Linked DNA regions of Pelodiscus sinensis. The protein of the gene in region 2 purifies or fractionates together with the protein of the main gene of each other region. This does not show direct contact. Links are inferred from orthologs where the notes say so. Each region holds a gene or a part of one and is shown on either strand. Other genes may lie near its edges. The genes, in order: FIP1L1 and CPSF2.

Region 1 (7,879 bases), on a different chromosome or scaffold from region 2:
GTAGGTCCAGTAGTGCCGAGGAGTGGCGCTGAGGGACCAACCCGGCAGCACCCCAGCTGCTCTACCCCAGGTGTCCCCAAGTCAGCTGCTGCTGAAACTGATCAGTGGCTGATTCCAGGAAGCCCAGGGCAGAGCAGCTCTGCCTCAAGCTTCCTGTAGTCAGCCGCTGGTCAGATTCAGCAGTGGCAGAATCTGGATGCCTGGGACAGAGCAGCTGGGGCGCTGCCAGGTAGGTCCCCGCAGCGCCACACCTCGGCACTGCGGGGAGCAACCCGGCAGCACCCCAGCTGCTCTACCCCAGGCGTCCTGATTCAGTCGCTGCTGAAACTGACCAGCGGCGAGAAAAGCCTGGTCTGCTGAGGGGGGGAGGCACTAGCTGCGCCCCTCCCTCCCCCCAGCAGACCAGGGAGACGCGGAGCGGCTTTTCTCGCCGCGGAGGACGTGGGCGGCGGGACCGCGGCGCGTCTCGGCGGTCCCACCGCCCACGTTCTCCGCGGCGAGAAAAGCCTGGTCTGCTGGGGGGGAGGGGGCACACTAGCTGCGCCCCCCCCCAGCAGACCAGAGAGACACGGAGCGGCTTTTCTCGCCACGGAGGACGCGGGCAGCGGGACCGAGATGCGCCGCTGTCCCGCTGCCTGCGTCCTCCGCGGCGAGAAAAGCCGCTCCACGTCTCCCTGGTCTGCTGGGGGGGGCACTAGCTCCACGTCTCACTGGTCTGCTGGGGGGAAGCGCCACCTGCGCCGCCGGAGGCGGCGACAGTGGGGGAGGCACCCCGCACTAGCTGCGCCCCTTCCCCCCGTTTGTAACTAGGGGTCCGACTTAAGTCGGATTGACCTAACCCAGGGACTGCCTGTACTGCAAATTACAGCAGATATCCCTAAGTCCTATAATAATACATTTAAGTGTGAATGAAGTGGGCTCCCAATGTAACAAAAACTACATTAAAGAAATCTTAGTCCTTTTTTACAATGATATGGATAATGCTGCACTTAATTAAAAATGGATTTTCATATGTAAGATTGAAAAGCCCCAATTCTAGAGAAAGCTATTTAAACAGTTGAACTGGCAGATCACACAAATGATATGAAGGAGATATTCAAAGGTAACCATTTAGGTGTCCAACTCCCAACGATGTAACCGCAAGAAAAAGGTGTGAAATTATGTTTTAATACACTTTTTGCACAACTACATTACCAGATTCACAACTTATCAAGACACCCACCTAGCTTTTTGTTCCTCTGGTCTCTCTGGTTCATTTTCATCTGTCAAAAGAAAAACATTATTTAAATATTATGTATGAGAAACCCTAGAGTCAAAAATAGCAGTTTATTGCAAGCTTATCCTATACCAAATAACTTTATTTAAGCAATGATCCCTGAATAAATTTGTGGGCTCTCCAGTCCTGAGTTAGATATATGTGCTAAGACATCTGACCCAAGACAGCACCCCCTTAAGCCAACAGAGCTCTACAAATAGACCCTTACAGTATCAGTGTTTTAGTTTGCAGGCAACAGTAATGTGGTTAGGGTACAAAATTGGTATGTCTACACTGCAGCTGGCAACAATGGCCCACTCAGGGAAAACAAATTCATCCTAGTGAGGTGCAAGGTAGCACTCTTAAAACAGAAGTATTGATGGTGTAGCTTAGACTGCATCTTAGACTCACAAGACCAGTTCATATTCCTAATGTCAGCATGCTAGCTGAAGCCCCACTAATGAGAGTGTCTACCCAGGCTGGAAACTCACTCCAGTGGCAGATTAGACATACCCACCAAAGTGAAGCTCCATAGTTTCAAACAAACAAAAGAGAAAGATTACAGTATTTCAAATGTGATTATGTATGTGAAAATTTAAGGGCCTAAGAATATTAAAATAATTTTAAGATAATTTATATGAAAGGCATAACAGAAAACAAGGTGTTGATCTTGCTATCTTTATTCATGAAAGCAATCATGGATTTTGGTGGAACTAATGAGATGAATGAGGGGCCAATCCTGCAGCCCTAAATGTAAACTCAGTATTCCGTATCAATCACATCTCAGAATTTTCTCAAAGTGTTGGAGACACTACTACCTGTCAGAAAATAAAATACCGTTTGATACACAAACATGCTTTTGATCAGTCATTATATTCTAACCTTCCAGTCCAAAACGAGTGGATTTGGTACAAATTATAGACTGAAGCACTATAGGAACCCAGTGTCCAATCAGCCTTTTCCTCCTAGTTCTAAGTAATTCTACAGAATGGGAAATTACACTTGGAAGTACACATTTTAAATCTTTGGTATGTCAAAGGAGTCTCTCACCTCTAGATCTAGGTAGGAGCTAAATAGGATGGTGATGGAAAATTTACAAGGCCAGAAAGAAAGACTCATGGACCTTTTAAAGGGGGCCGCATTTGTGGGAGCACATAACCAGCCAGGAGCTGCCTGAGGCTTATGGCGGAAGGGGGGTGGCCGGATAATGGAGAGCTGAAAACCCAGGAGGTCAAGCGAAAGGAGGGGACCAGGCAGAGATGGGGCGGGGAGCAGAGAGCCGCAGGCCTGGGGATCACTGCAGTCACACTGGAGCCCGGGGGTGCGCCGTGACCAGCCTCCAGTCCGGCCACACTAGCGCAGGTGGTTCCCGCACCAACAGGCCAGGCCGGCAGCCCCCGGCGCGGCTCCTGCGGGAGATGGGCACGCGGTCAGAGGCAGCAGGCCCGGCCCGGCCCGGCCCAGGGATCGGCCTAGGCGATGGGAGAGCGGCTGCTGCGCACGCTAGGGCCTAGCGCTCCCCTTCCGGCCTTTCCCCGTCCCGCGGCGCCAGGGAGCGCGAGGCGGCCGGGCCAGGCCGGGGCCTAGGAAGGTGCGTACCGCCATAGAGCCACTCCTCCTCCTCATCCCCGCCGGCCCCGCTCAGATCCGCCGCCAGCCGCTCCACCTCGCCGGCCGACATGGCCGCCTGCCCTGGACCGCGCCGGCCCTGCGCTGCACAGGCACAGACCGCGCGCGCAGCTCCCCGCGGCAGCCGAGCGGCGGAGGAGGAGGCGGCGGCCGGTGTGTGCAGCGCCCGCCCTCCCCCGCCGAGGAGCCGCCGCCGCCGCTCGCTCAGCGCTTCCCCTCCCCCCGCTGAATGACTGACACACACACAGGAAAGGGCCGAGCCCCGCAGCCCGAGGAGCACTGGGACTGCGGGGAGGAGTAGGACACTGCTGGGGGTTGGGGCGGGGAAAGGGGGCCTGCCCCCTCTCCCAGCTGGGCACAGTGCGGGAAGGAGTAAGAGGTTCTGGGCCTTCGCCGTGCGGCACAGTGGGAAGAGGAGCCTCTCCGAGGGGCCACCCTGGGGGAGAAAGATACAAGCCGGCGTAATGTAGATTTTACAGCGGCCTGTCTCAGGCCCACCCCCCGTGGGGCCCTTTGCTAACCCAGCCCTGCTAACTAGTGCCACAGAAATTGGGCTTCCCAAAGTCAGGGAAGGCGGGAAACGGACACTTGCCTGCCACCAAAGTTATAAAAATCCTCAGCCCAACAATAAAAAGTCGATTAAAACAAATCACTGGGAAGACTGCAAGGGGGCAGGTGTTTCAGTCTGCAGGGGAGTGAGCCCTTACCCAACAGGAGCATGCTCAATGCAGCTTGGACAATCCTCCAGCCAACAGGCCCACATTAAGGGAAGCCTTCCCCAGGCTACTGGCAAGAGGAGAAATTAGCCTCTCTTACTTTTGGAGGAGAGGGTAGGAGCTGCTGTTTTATCCCTTCCTACCCACTCACATAGCATTATTCTGCATCTCTCTGTACTGCAGCAAGGATCCATTCCTTACCTCCTTGTTTTTCACCTGCTCCTCTCCCATATTTTCCCTCCCCTACAGGCGTGGCATCCTAACCTTCTCCTTTTCTGTCAGTCTCCCTCCCCTATTCCCTTTAGCAGGGCCGGCCCGAGCCATTCCGGTTCCCCGGGCAGACAGTTTAATTGTGCCCCAGGTTGGGGGAGGGCACATGCACGGCCCTGCCCCCGCCCAGCATGTGGGGGAGGGCATGCGGAGCTGGCGGCAACAGGACACACATGCCCAGCCCGGCTATCGCCATTGGCGCACCGCCAGAGGTGGGCCGAGTCTGGCTGTGTAGGGCCCCACAGCCGCAGGGGGAAAGGGCGCTGCTGGCTGGCGCTGCGGGGTTTAACGTGGCCCCCCGCCCCAGGCGGCCACTGCAGGGTGGCCGCTGGGAGCTGCTGCAGTCCAGGATCCAGGTGCGCGGCACCTGATGGCAGCTGTAAGGGGTGCTGCGTGCCCCTTTACAGCTGCCATCAGTTGCCTCCCCATAGGTTGGCGCCCTGGGCAGCAGCCTGGCCAGCCCTTGCCTTAATCCAGCCAGCCCATGCCTTAATCCTGCCCTGCCTTTAGGCATTTCTACTGCACCCTGTATTGCCATGCCTTCTGGCTGTCCAGTTAGCATGGAAAGTGAGATGATTTTTCTTAAAGACAACATTTCTTCAATCTCTTTTTCAAAAGTGAAAGTTACTTAAAAATTTCTTACAGGTACTGTCCTATTGCAACCTGGGATCTTGCCAGCTCTTTAAATAGTTTTTGCCACAGCTCAGTCAGCTCTTGCCAGAGCTTCACACCAGGGCATACACCCTTACTTTCCCCACTGCACATTTTAAAAACGATAGGCAATGGCTACCATCTTTGTTACGGAAAGACCCTCATAACTAAACCTACAAAAATTGACAGGACTCAAAGGTAATTGCAGAATGTGAAACTACTTTTACATCATTTTTTAAAACTTAAAAGTTTTCAAGTTTAAAGCAAGTCTTCAGATGAATACTGATTATTTTAATTTCAGGAATGCTTAAATATTTACACAGGCAATAATTAAATCAGACTACAGAGAACTGCCAAGTAAATTATTAATTCTTCATTAATGTAATCATTCTGGATTTAAACTGGTTAATCTGATTTTGGCTAGTGGTCTTTCTTCCAAACTGGCCCATAAAGAGAAATAGTTGCACTTTGTGCTGTACAGTATATATAAAAACAAAACAAAACCCTCATGATTTCCTGACAGAACTTCCATTGCTTTGACTTTGCATAATCATGAAAACGGAAGTTAAAACATTAAAAAATAAAAACATAACACTGGAAAAGCAGAAGAAAACAAAAACAGTTTTTTCAGCCTTTATCTGTGATGTATCAAAGCAAAAACTTTAAGAATTATAGTCTCCAAGATCATTCAACCTGACAACAAATTAATTCTGTATGGCTGTGTCTACACTGGCCCCTTCTTCGGAAGAGGCATGCTAATTTCTAACTTTGGAATAGGGAAATCCGCGGGGGATTTAAATACCCCCCGCGGGATTTAAATAAACATGGCCGCCGCTTTTTTTCCAGCTCGGGGAAAAGCCGGAAAAGAGCATCCAGACTGGCGCAATCCTCCGGAATAAAGCCCTTTTCCAGAGGATCTCTTATTCCTACTTCAGGTTGGAATAGGGAAATCCGCGGGGGATTTAAATACCCCCCGTGGGATTTAAATAAACATGGCCGCCGCTTTTTTTCCGGCTCGGGGAAAAGCCGGAAAAGAGCGTCCAGACTGGCGCGATCCTCCGGAATAAAGCCCTCTTAGAATAAGAGATCCTCCGGAAAAGGGCTTTATTCCGGAGGATCGTGCCAGTCTGGACGCTCTTTTCCGGCTTTTCCCCGAGCCGGAAAAAAAGCGGCGGCCATGTTTATTTAAATCCCGTGGGGGGTATTTAAATCCCCTGCGGATTTCCCTATTCCAAAGTTAGAAATTAGCATTCCTCTTCCGAAGAAGGGGCCAGTCTAGACGTAGCCTATGGTTTTAAGCCCAGTAGCCTGGTGATCAACCATCACCAATTCTTTTGGCATTAATTGTTCACATCAAATATTTTCCAGACTAATTTTATTTTTCATATTGTTGAGTACTCTAAAAGTTTATACCACATTTAGTAGGTTAAAATAATAAATCAGAGCTGAGATTAAATAAAGGTACAAATCAGAGGCAAGAATTGAAAAAAAATGGATGAGAGAGGGAGTTGGAGGGAGATGCACCAGAGCTGGAATTAAAAGAACATTTTCCTGCCATTTATCACCACAAAAGATGAGAAGTGCTTATTGTCAGGCCCATTACTACTTGTCCTATCTTCACCAGACAATGAGAACAATTAAACACAATCTTCTTTATACCGCCTTGCATATCTGAAACCTGTTATCAGGTCTCACCTCAGTCTTCTTCTCTCAAGACTAAACATGCACAGATATTTTAAGCTTTCTTCACAAGTCCGCTATTCCAAATCTTTCACTGTTTTTTGTTGCTCTTCTCTAGACTCTTTCCAATTTGTCCACATATTTTCTTAAAATGTGGCACACAGAACTGGATACAGTATTCCAGTTGTTGAGGCAAAACAGAGCAGGAAAATTATCTCTCATGTCTTACATATAACACTCTTGTTAATATACCTATTATAACCTGAGGGGAGGGCAAGAACCTAGAGCAGGGGTATTCTAGGCTGCCTATGCTTCCACATCACTATTGGAAGGGCCAGGTTGCCAGTAGAGAAGTCTGTGACGCTAAACCTTTTTAAACCGCGGACCGGCAAACACACTGACAAACTTTGTGTGGACCGGTAAAATTTTATTTGCATACATGCACACCCATTACGCAAATAATATATATGCAAATAAAATGTTATCAGCAGGTGGCTGCTGCAGCTGAAACTGGCTGTTCATGGAGGCTTGGGGGCCGGGGCTGGGGTATACCCCAACCCCTGAGCCCTCCAGTGCCAGCCCCAACCCCTAAAGCCCCCCCACTCCTCCAATACCCCCAAGCACTAGCCACTGATCCCAGAGTCCCCTGCACCCAACTTTCCCAGTGCCAGCCTCCCACCCTCAGAGCTCCCCAGTGCCAGCCCCCGCCCCTTAGAGCACCACCACCACCAGACCTCTCCAGTGCCAGCCTCCTGTTTCTAGAGCCCCACTGCACTCAACCCCTCAGAATACCCCCGTGCCAGCCCCCAGTCCCCAATGTCAGCCCTGTCCCCAGAGCTCCCCAGTGCCAGCCCTGCCCCTGTAGCTCCTCCACTACTATCCCTGCACTCAGAGCCCCCCAGTGCCAGCTCCCCACCTTGGATGCCCGAGAGCTGCCCAGTGCCAGCCTTCTGCCCCTTAGAGCCCCCAACACCAGCCCCGCCCCCAGAGTTCCCACTGCCTGCTCCACCCTGCATGCCTCCCAGCTGAGCACTGCTGCCCAGGTCACCGCTGTTCTAAGGCTGCCATGCAGGGCTCTGCACAGTCCTCCTTCTGCGCAGCAAACCACTCATCTGCATCCAGGAGGAGCTCTCACCCCTGCCGGGTGTTGGCTGGCTGAAAGGCGGGGTAGGGTATTCCTTTCCCAACAGCCACGACAAGAGAGGAGACGTTGGGCAGTGTACCTCAGCACTGGCCCCCTGAGCCACTGCGGCCCATCAGCCAGCAGTTTGTGGCCCAACACTGGGCTGTAGACTGGTGGCTGAAACTGCTGAGCTAAACAACGTAGGAAGTACCATCCAGCAGGACCTCAGTGATAACCCCCCATAGACTACTGACTGGCCTGCGCTGCTATAGAAAGCAGGAAACCATCATATGTAGTTGTCCATGCAATGACACAGACTATTTGCTTGCTTTTGCTCCAGACCTTTCCTCACTGTAAAACTTAGTCTCTGGCTTCTGACTCTGATTTCTGTTAGTGGCCTGCAATCTGTCACCTGGTGGCAGCCTGACCCTGACCTCCTCCTATCCTGACTCAGTCCCCAGTTTTAGGGACAAGAGGCTCCTCCTCCTCGCCATTATGGTCTATTCCTCAGACACTGTGATCTGCTCCTCACTTTGTGTTGCATCTACAGTATAC
Region 2 (7,837 bases):
GGAAAAGAGCGTCTAGATTGACACGGATGCTTTTCCGCAAAAGCACTTTTTGCGTAAAAGCGTCCGTGGCCAATCTAGACGTGCTTTTCCGCAAAAAAGCCCCGAACGCCATTTTCGCAATCGGGGCTTTTTTGCAGAAATCAAATCTCAGCTGTCTACACTGCCCCTTTTGCGCAAAAGGGACTTTTGCCCGAACGGGAGCAGCATAGTATTTCCGCAAAAAGCACTGATTTCTTACAGTAGGAAGTCAGTGCTTTTGCGGAAATTCAAGCGGCCACTGTAGACAGCTGGCAAGTTTTTCCAGAAAAGCGACTGATTTTCCAGAAAAACTGGCCAGTCTAGACACAGCCATGGGTGTTGGGCAGATGGGGGAGATCAGCTCCCCATAAAACAAACTTTCCTCTAATGCCTAAAGAATGTTGGGGGCAGAAAGTGGGGGTGCAGAGTTTCGTACAGTCAGGGACGTTTTCTGGGGGTGTGTCTAACCAGCTCCAGTCACACCTTGCAAGGGAAGAAGATGCCCAGCCAGAAGTAGCAGCTGATATTAGCAAAGGATAGGGTTGACTGGGTGGGGCACCCTCATCCCCCCATTCCCTCCCCCTCTCTAATCCCAAATAGTTATTTTTCTCTGTCCCAGGCACCTGAAATGACAAGTGGCCACTCTTGCAACTTCCCTTTGTTTCCCCATCAGAAGTCATATTTTTTTACAGGGAAGCAAAAAAATTTGAGGGATCCATGAATACTTTGTGCACAGAGTGATGCAGAATTCCTCCATGAGTAAACCATTAATTGTTTCACCCCATGCAGAAACCTTGTTACACTGTCAAAGAAAGCTATTAGGTTGGTTTGTCAGGATTTGTTTTTGTCAAATCCATGTTGACTGTTAATTATTACCTTATTATCTTCTAGGTTCTGGGTACTGAAGTTAAACTGACAGGTCTGTAATCCTCCAGGGCTATTCTTAATCGGGTTTCTAGAGTCTAGCACTATATTTGCTCTCAGTCCTCCAGAATCTCTCCAGCCTTCCATAAATTTTCAAAAATAATAGCTATTGGCTCAGATATTTCTTCAGTCAGCATCTTGAGTATTTCAAGATATATTTCCACCAGGCCTTGCTGACTTGAAGTTATCTAACTTGTCTAAGAAATTTTTAACTTGTTCTTTCTCTAGCTCAGCCTCAACTCCTACTTCATTTTCATGTCAGTCACTATGTTAGATGTCCAATTGCCACTAATCTTTTTGGTGAAAAATGAAAAAAATCATTTAGCACATCAGCCATGTTTACATTTTCTGTTATTAGTTCTCCCTATTGTGTAACAGGCCTATCCTGTCCGTGGTCTTCCTCTTGCATCTAATGCATTTCTAGAACATTTTCTTCTTCTTTATGCCACTAGCTAGTTTGATCTCATTGTGGCTTAGCTTAATTGTGTCCCTTCCTGCTTGTGGTGCTTTTTGTTTTTTAATACTCCGTCTTTATAATTTGATCTAATTTTCCTTTCTATAGGATTCTTTTTTGAGTTTCGGATCATTGAAAATTTCCTGGTTGGATCAAAGTGGTCTTCGGCTATAATTCCTATTTTTTCCGCAGTGAGATAGCTTGCTCACACCCCTAATAAGTTCTCTCTAAAAAACTGCTCACTCTTTCAAACTGTTTTCTCCTAGGCCACATCTAAACTTACTGTGCCAGTAATCTTCTGGCATTTGATTTAGCAGGTCTAGTAAGGACTCGCTAAATCGAACGCTGAAGGCATCCCTGGTTGATACAGGTACTTTTTGATTCATGAGGAGTAAGGGCAGGGGTGCCCGCTGATGACGTCACGGGCGCCCACCAATGATGTTAGTCCATTAACTGCCCTGCAGGCGGGGGCACCGATCGCATGCTCTGTCTGGGGCGCCAGCTGCCGCAGCCGGCCTCAGACCGCTCCTGAGTAAGGGAAGTCTCAACAGGAGCATTTGTTCCCATTGATCTCTCACTGCAGAAGCAGCGCCAAAATAAGGTTACAGTATGTCAACTCTAACTATGTTATTTACGTAGCTAGAGTTGCACACTTTAAGCTAACCTTCTGAGTCTTGTATAGACCTAGCCTTACACTTGCTGCCAATGGGATCTTACCTACCAACTCAAGTTTGCTGAAGTCTGCCTTCTTGAAATCCATTTTCTTTATTCTGCTGTCTTCCCTCCTATTCCTTAGATTAATAAATGCATCATTTCCTAGCTATCATTACAATCATGCAGGAGGGTTTTTTAATATAACTTACAAAATACTAATGAAAGCAGAGAATGAGTTAGGTCTCCTTTGTCTAAAGATTGGACATGATTAGTCTTGAGAAAAGGAAACAGAGGGGACCTGAAAATAGTCTTCCAATATGTTAAAGGCTGTTATTAACAGGATTAGGTTCAACTGGTTTCCATGTCCACTGAAGGCAGGACAATAAGTAAAGGGCTTAATCTGCAGCAAGAGAGAACAGGGTTAGATATCAGAATGTTTTTCTAACTGGAACAGTAATTAAGTTCTCATCCCAGGGAACTTCTATAACACCCACCTTTGGAGGCATTTAAAAGCAGGCAGGGATGGTTTAGGTTAACTCGCCTGAGGGGGAGGGGATGAGCTAGAACACTTCACAAGACCCCTATAGCCAGGGTCCTTCATTCAATGGAATCTGTTCCCAGCGCGCACTCAGAGAGCAGACTCTCATCTCCACCTCCTTCGGTAGGTGCCCCCCTCGCTCGCGGTGGGGAGGGTCTCGCCCCCTCCGCTCATGGAGGCGAGTTCCGATCCCAAGACATCCCGGCGGCAGGGAAGCGTCTTCCCCGCGCTGTCGCGGATGCCGGGGCGCCGCAATAAACTCCCCCACCCACATCAGCCTGGGCCGAGGGGGGGAGGGAAGCGTTCTAGCTTGTCAGGGGCCAGCATGCAGCGCCCTGTCACCGGCTCCGCCCGGGAACGGGGGGGAAGCGAAGCGAGGCAGCCTGGCACCTACCTCACCACCAGCCCTACGCCGCCCCTAAACGCAGCGGGGACAGCGCAGAGGAGACCCGGCCTCCTCCTCAGCCAGACCCCGTGTCTTCCACAGCTGCCGCCATTTTGAAAACGGGGGGAGGGAGAGGAGGAGCGGCTTCGGCAGCTGGAGAAAGCGAAAGGGGAATGGACGGTCCCATTCTGAACCCGGGGGAGTACATCTCAGGACCCTCGGGCCTTGAGGTTTCGCAGCCCCATTATTATGCGGGCTGGGCCACAGAGTCTCAGAAGGGTGGTGGGTAGAACGCTGAACTAAAAGCGACCGGGGGAAGCTACCTCCCCTCTACAGCTAATGGTCTGACCCAGTAGGCTGGCGGCTTTTCCGATAGCCAGTCGAGTGGCCCCAGTTGCCCTTGGGCTCGGCGCAGGCGGCGGTAGGCCTAGGCCCGGCGGCAGGTGAGCGGGGCCTGGCGGAGTGCGTGGACGAGGCTAGCCCGCGGGTTGCACGATTGCCTACAGCTGGCAGCTCTGCTGGTGCCTTCTCGGCTGGAAATAGGGATCCACCGTGTGGAGAGCCGGGGGGCGCTCGGCGGGGGGGGGTACTTTAGAAATACAGGGCCCTGCAGAGTGGCTTTCTCCCTCAGCTCGTGGGGCACTAACACCGTAACGCTACTGGGAGCAGTCGGGGGCCGTGCGGGGTGCTATAGGGCCTTACCTGACACAGGCACTCCCCTGAAGAGCTTACCAGTAAGGGCCCTGCAAATCCACAGAGATCCCCTTTCTAGCCATAAGCGGATATTTGTAGCTTACTTTTGCGAATAGCAAATTTATATCTAGAATCCTGCAGCTTGGTTAGAAGTCCGTGGGTATCCGCAGCTGTGCATATCCGTGGATCATTTGTGCTGGTGCAGGCATGGCTGTGGATTCTATTTTTGTATCCATGCAAAGCTCTACTTAGAAGCAGTGTTCAGTTTCGCTGTGCGTATGTGGTGTTTTACTCCTCAAATACATCCCAAATCGAGGGGTGGCTAGGCTTGTGAAACTAAACATAAAAAGCCTTTCAGACCTGAGTTTTATTTATGTCCCTACATGCATTTACTGTAATATTTAAAAAACGTTTGGGTGTTCTGCTGCTTTTAAGGTGCCTGATTAATACTCTTGGTTTTTATTGTTTAAAATCTGTATTATGCAAGGACTAGTTCAATGATTTTAAGCTCCTAGTAGGCCAGGGATGGTCAATAATTTTTGCAGGGGGGTAATTCTAAGAATATTTTAAGTGTTCACAGGCTGCACTTTTCTGTTATATTAATGAAGAGAGTTGAGGAGGGAGCTCTGGGAAGGGGATTGGGCTGCAGGGTCTGGGAGGGAGTTTGGGCCCAGTTGGGGGAGTTTCTGACCTGGGGTTGGGATGTAGAAGGATGTGCAGGGTGTGGTCCTAAACAGTCCATGCTTCTCATAGCTGACTCCCAGCCCAGTGGGGAATTCAGGCAGGCTGCCTAGGTGCTATGGTAGCCCCCATGTCACTCAGAGCTGCTGCATTGCTGGCAAGTGTGCCTTGCTTTTTTAATATCCAACCTAAACCTCTCTTGCTGCAATGTAAGCCCCTTGCTGCTTGTCTTGTTCTCCGGGGTTAAGGAGAAAAAATTATTTCCTTACTCTTTGTAACAAGCTTTTAGGTATTGTGTTCCCCTCCCCCATTTTTCTCATTTCCAGACTAAAACCCAATTCTTTCCAAATCTGTCTTCATAGGTCATGTTTTCTAGACATCTAATCATTTTTTGCTCTTCCATGGACCACCTTCAGTTTATCCACATCTTTCCTAAAATCTGGCAACAGACTGGCTAGCTTTTCATTCCGTTCCCTGGATGCTAAGGGAGTGAGGGGAAAGTGCTTGCATTCCTCTCACACCTGGCTGGTGAGCTCCCTTCATGGAACACAAGCAGTTTCTTCTCACTCCCTTAGCATCTGGGGAAAGGGATGAAAAGCTAGCTGCGTCCCGGAGTGCACGGCTACTGCCCCTCCCATGCACTCGAAATGGTACCCTTGTCTGGCACCCAAAATTGGACACAGTACTAGAGTTAAGGCCTAATCAGCAGAGTAGAGTAGAAAAATTGTTTCTCGTGCCTTGTTTACAACACTCCTGTTAATATATCCCAGAAAGATGTTTGGATTTTTTTCTCCAATTTGATCACATCTTTTTTAACAGTAATGCCTAAAACTGGACACCGTATTTCCAGTTGAGGCCGCACCAGAGCCATGTAGAGCAGAATTACTTCCCATGGCTTATACCCCTGTGATCATATACCAGAATGGCAGTTGCCTTTTTCAGGACAGTATCATAGTGTTGATTCGTATTCAATTTGTGATCCCCTAAAACAGTGGTTTCCAACCTTTTTGATACCGGGGACCAGCAAACCCATTAAGAAACGTTAGGCAGACTGGCAACATTTCATTTGTGTATTTGTATATTCATCATGCAAATGATATATATGTAAGTAAAATATTACCGGTCTGCCCCTGATTGCTTGGTGTCATGTGCAAATTTTATAAGCATCTCTCCACTCTATCATTCAAGTCATTAATGAAAACATTAACTAGTACCAGACCTATGAGAGTCCCTATCTGATAGATCTTTCCAGTTTGACAGTAGATTATTGATAATTACTCTTTGAGGATGGCCTTTTAACTAGTTGTGCAAGCACCTTACAGTAATTGCATCGAGATTTATAGATGAATGCTATAGAAAGTCCCGCTTTATAAATGATTGTTGAAAACAAGTACAGTAAAACTCTAGTTGTCCGGCATCTAGTGGTCCGGCACTCCTGATAGTCTGGCACCACCTGGAACCTGGAAGTGCTCCAGGCAGCTGGACAATTGGAGCAGCTCTGTCCCGGGCTTCCCTGAGTTAGCCGCTAGTCAGTTTCAGCAGCGGCTGATTTGGGGAAGTCTGGGGCAGAGCAGCTGGGGTGCTGCTGGGTTGGTCCTGCAGCGCCGCGCCCCATATTCTCCCCCACCCCACTCCAGACCTCTCATAGCTCCCCCTTCTGATAGTCCGACATATTTGATAATCCGGCACCCCATGGGTCCTAAAGGTGCCGGATTATTGGAAGTTTACTGTATTCTGTTTTACAGCAAGACAGACTCCTGGTAACTGGTGCATTGTTACAATGATTTCTGGTGAGGGCATTTTCCATAATCAATGCAAATATTCAACCTTTGACCACCTTAAAATAGTTTATTATTTGGGTTACATTCCTGTTCATTTAGGGCAAAATTCTACTCTGTACTGCAAATTCAATATAGAGTCCTGTATCCAGGAATCTCATGTGGATTTGGGAGCAGCATTTTTCTCTTGTTAGAATGTGTGCTGGCCTTCAAATATTCAGGATTGTATTGAAAAAAGCCCATTATAGATAGGTATATTATAGGTATAGGCAGTCATTTCTGTGCTCAGGTTTTTCTGCCTCCTCCTGAACCCTCCAACTTTTTTTTTTTTTCCTTTTAGCAGTCATGGTGAATGTTGTCAACTTTGTGCGTGAACATTGGGTCCACATTTTGTGTCCAATGGGATTTGTTATTGGTTGCTATCTGGACAGAAGGAATGATGAAAAACTGTCAACTTTTAGAAACAAGAGCCTTTTATTTAAAAGGTTAGTTTGACACAACTTTTTAACAAAATAATCTGCTTAATTCTGCTTTCTTGTTGACATGAATTATGTCATGTTTTTATGTTGGCTACAAAGGAAAAAGGATTTTGTCCGATACCTTCTGTCCTGCAAAATGTTCAGCTCCTTGAGAGGTGCTCAGTGTTCTAAACTCCTATTTAAATTAGCTGGAATTAAGCAAACTTGCAATCCGTCCCCATATTAGTGTCATAAGAATGGCCATACTAGGTTAGACCAGTGGTCCACCTAGCCCAGTATCCTGTCTTCTGAAAGTGGCCACTGCCACATGGCATATTGCCATAGAGGGAATGAACAGAAAAGGGCAGTGATCAAGTTTTCCAGTCCCAACTTCTGGTGGTCAGTGGTGTAAGGACTCCCTAAGCATGGGGTTGGCTCCCTGACCATCTTGGCAAATAGCTACTGAAGAACCTATTTTCCATTAACTTAATCCAGTTCTTTTCTCAACTCAAGTTATACTTGTGGCCTTCGCAATATCTTCTGTCAAAGAGTTTTACAGGGTAACAATGCATTGTGTAAGGAAACACTTTCTTATCTTGCTTTAAACCTGTTGCCTACTAATTTCATAACACATGGTTCTTGTGTTATGTGAGGGGGTAAAATAAACTTCCCTATCCCCTTTTTTTCCATACCAGTAATAATTTTATATAAACATTTATCATTTCCCCCCTTAGCTGTCTTTTTTTTTAAGCTGAACAGTACCAGTTCATTGAATCTCTCCATGCTAGGGGAGTCACCAGTTTAGTCCTCCTCTGCTCCCCCTGTTATCCCTTGGCTTGCCTGCTCCTCTGCCTGCTGGTGGCAGCTAGAGCCTTCTCTCTGCTCCCAGCCCAACCCTCCTCCATCTCCACTGGCAGGAGAAGATGTGGTACAAGCTTTCCCCTCCTCCCAGGGTTGGGCCAGTTGGGGGGGGGGGGGCAGGAGAGGGCAGTGGCGGCACAAATTTTTCTTTTGCCCCTGGGTGCATAACACCCTGGCTAAGTCTCTGTAGATTAGTCTGCAAAAGTCCGGTGCATTATTTAATTGTATTCTTTTTTTTTCTCTCGTCCCCCTCCCCCCCAAACACAGGGAATTGAAACCCGGCGAAGAAGTTACCTGGAGATAAAGACCATCTATGAAATGCTTTTGCCTAATCAAATTTGATTGTATAACATATGGATGATGTCTTTGTTACTATGTCATCCGTGGAACAAG

Evidence for each region.
Region 1: the proteins of CPSF2 (region 2) and FIP1L1 purify together in Homo sapiens (affinity purification with mass spectrometry; 7 studies listed by BioGRID and IntAct, with this or other methods). This does not show direct contact. The link is inferred for Pelodiscus sinensis from reciprocal best matches to the Homo sapiens genes CPSF2 and FIP1L1.

What each region holds. Positions count from the first base shown.
Region 1 is NC_134715.1:86,076,667-86,084,545, forward strand, and holds the start of FIP1L1 (pre-mRNA 3'-end-processing factor FIP1), read right to left. Parts: upstream 3,113-7,879; 5' UTR 2,937-3,112; coding exon 2,855-2,936; intron 1,263-2,854; coding exon 1,223-1,262; intron 1-1,222.
Region 2 is NC_134714.1:30,841,321-30,849,157, forward strand, and holds the start of CPSF2 (cleavage and polyadenylation specificity factor subunit 2), read right to left. Parts: upstream 3,138-7,837; 5' UTR 2,983-3,137; intron 1-2,982. Other genes in the region: NDUFB1 (NADH dehydrogenase [ubiquinone] 1 beta subcomplex subunit 1), read left to right, coding at 6,471-6,610, 7,712-7,748. UniProt on the Homo sapiens protein: Component of the cleavage and polyadenylation specificity factor (CPSF) complex that play a key role in pre-mRNA 3'-end formation, recognizing the AAUAAA signal sequence and interacting with poly(A) polymerase and other factors to bring about cleavage and poly(A) addition.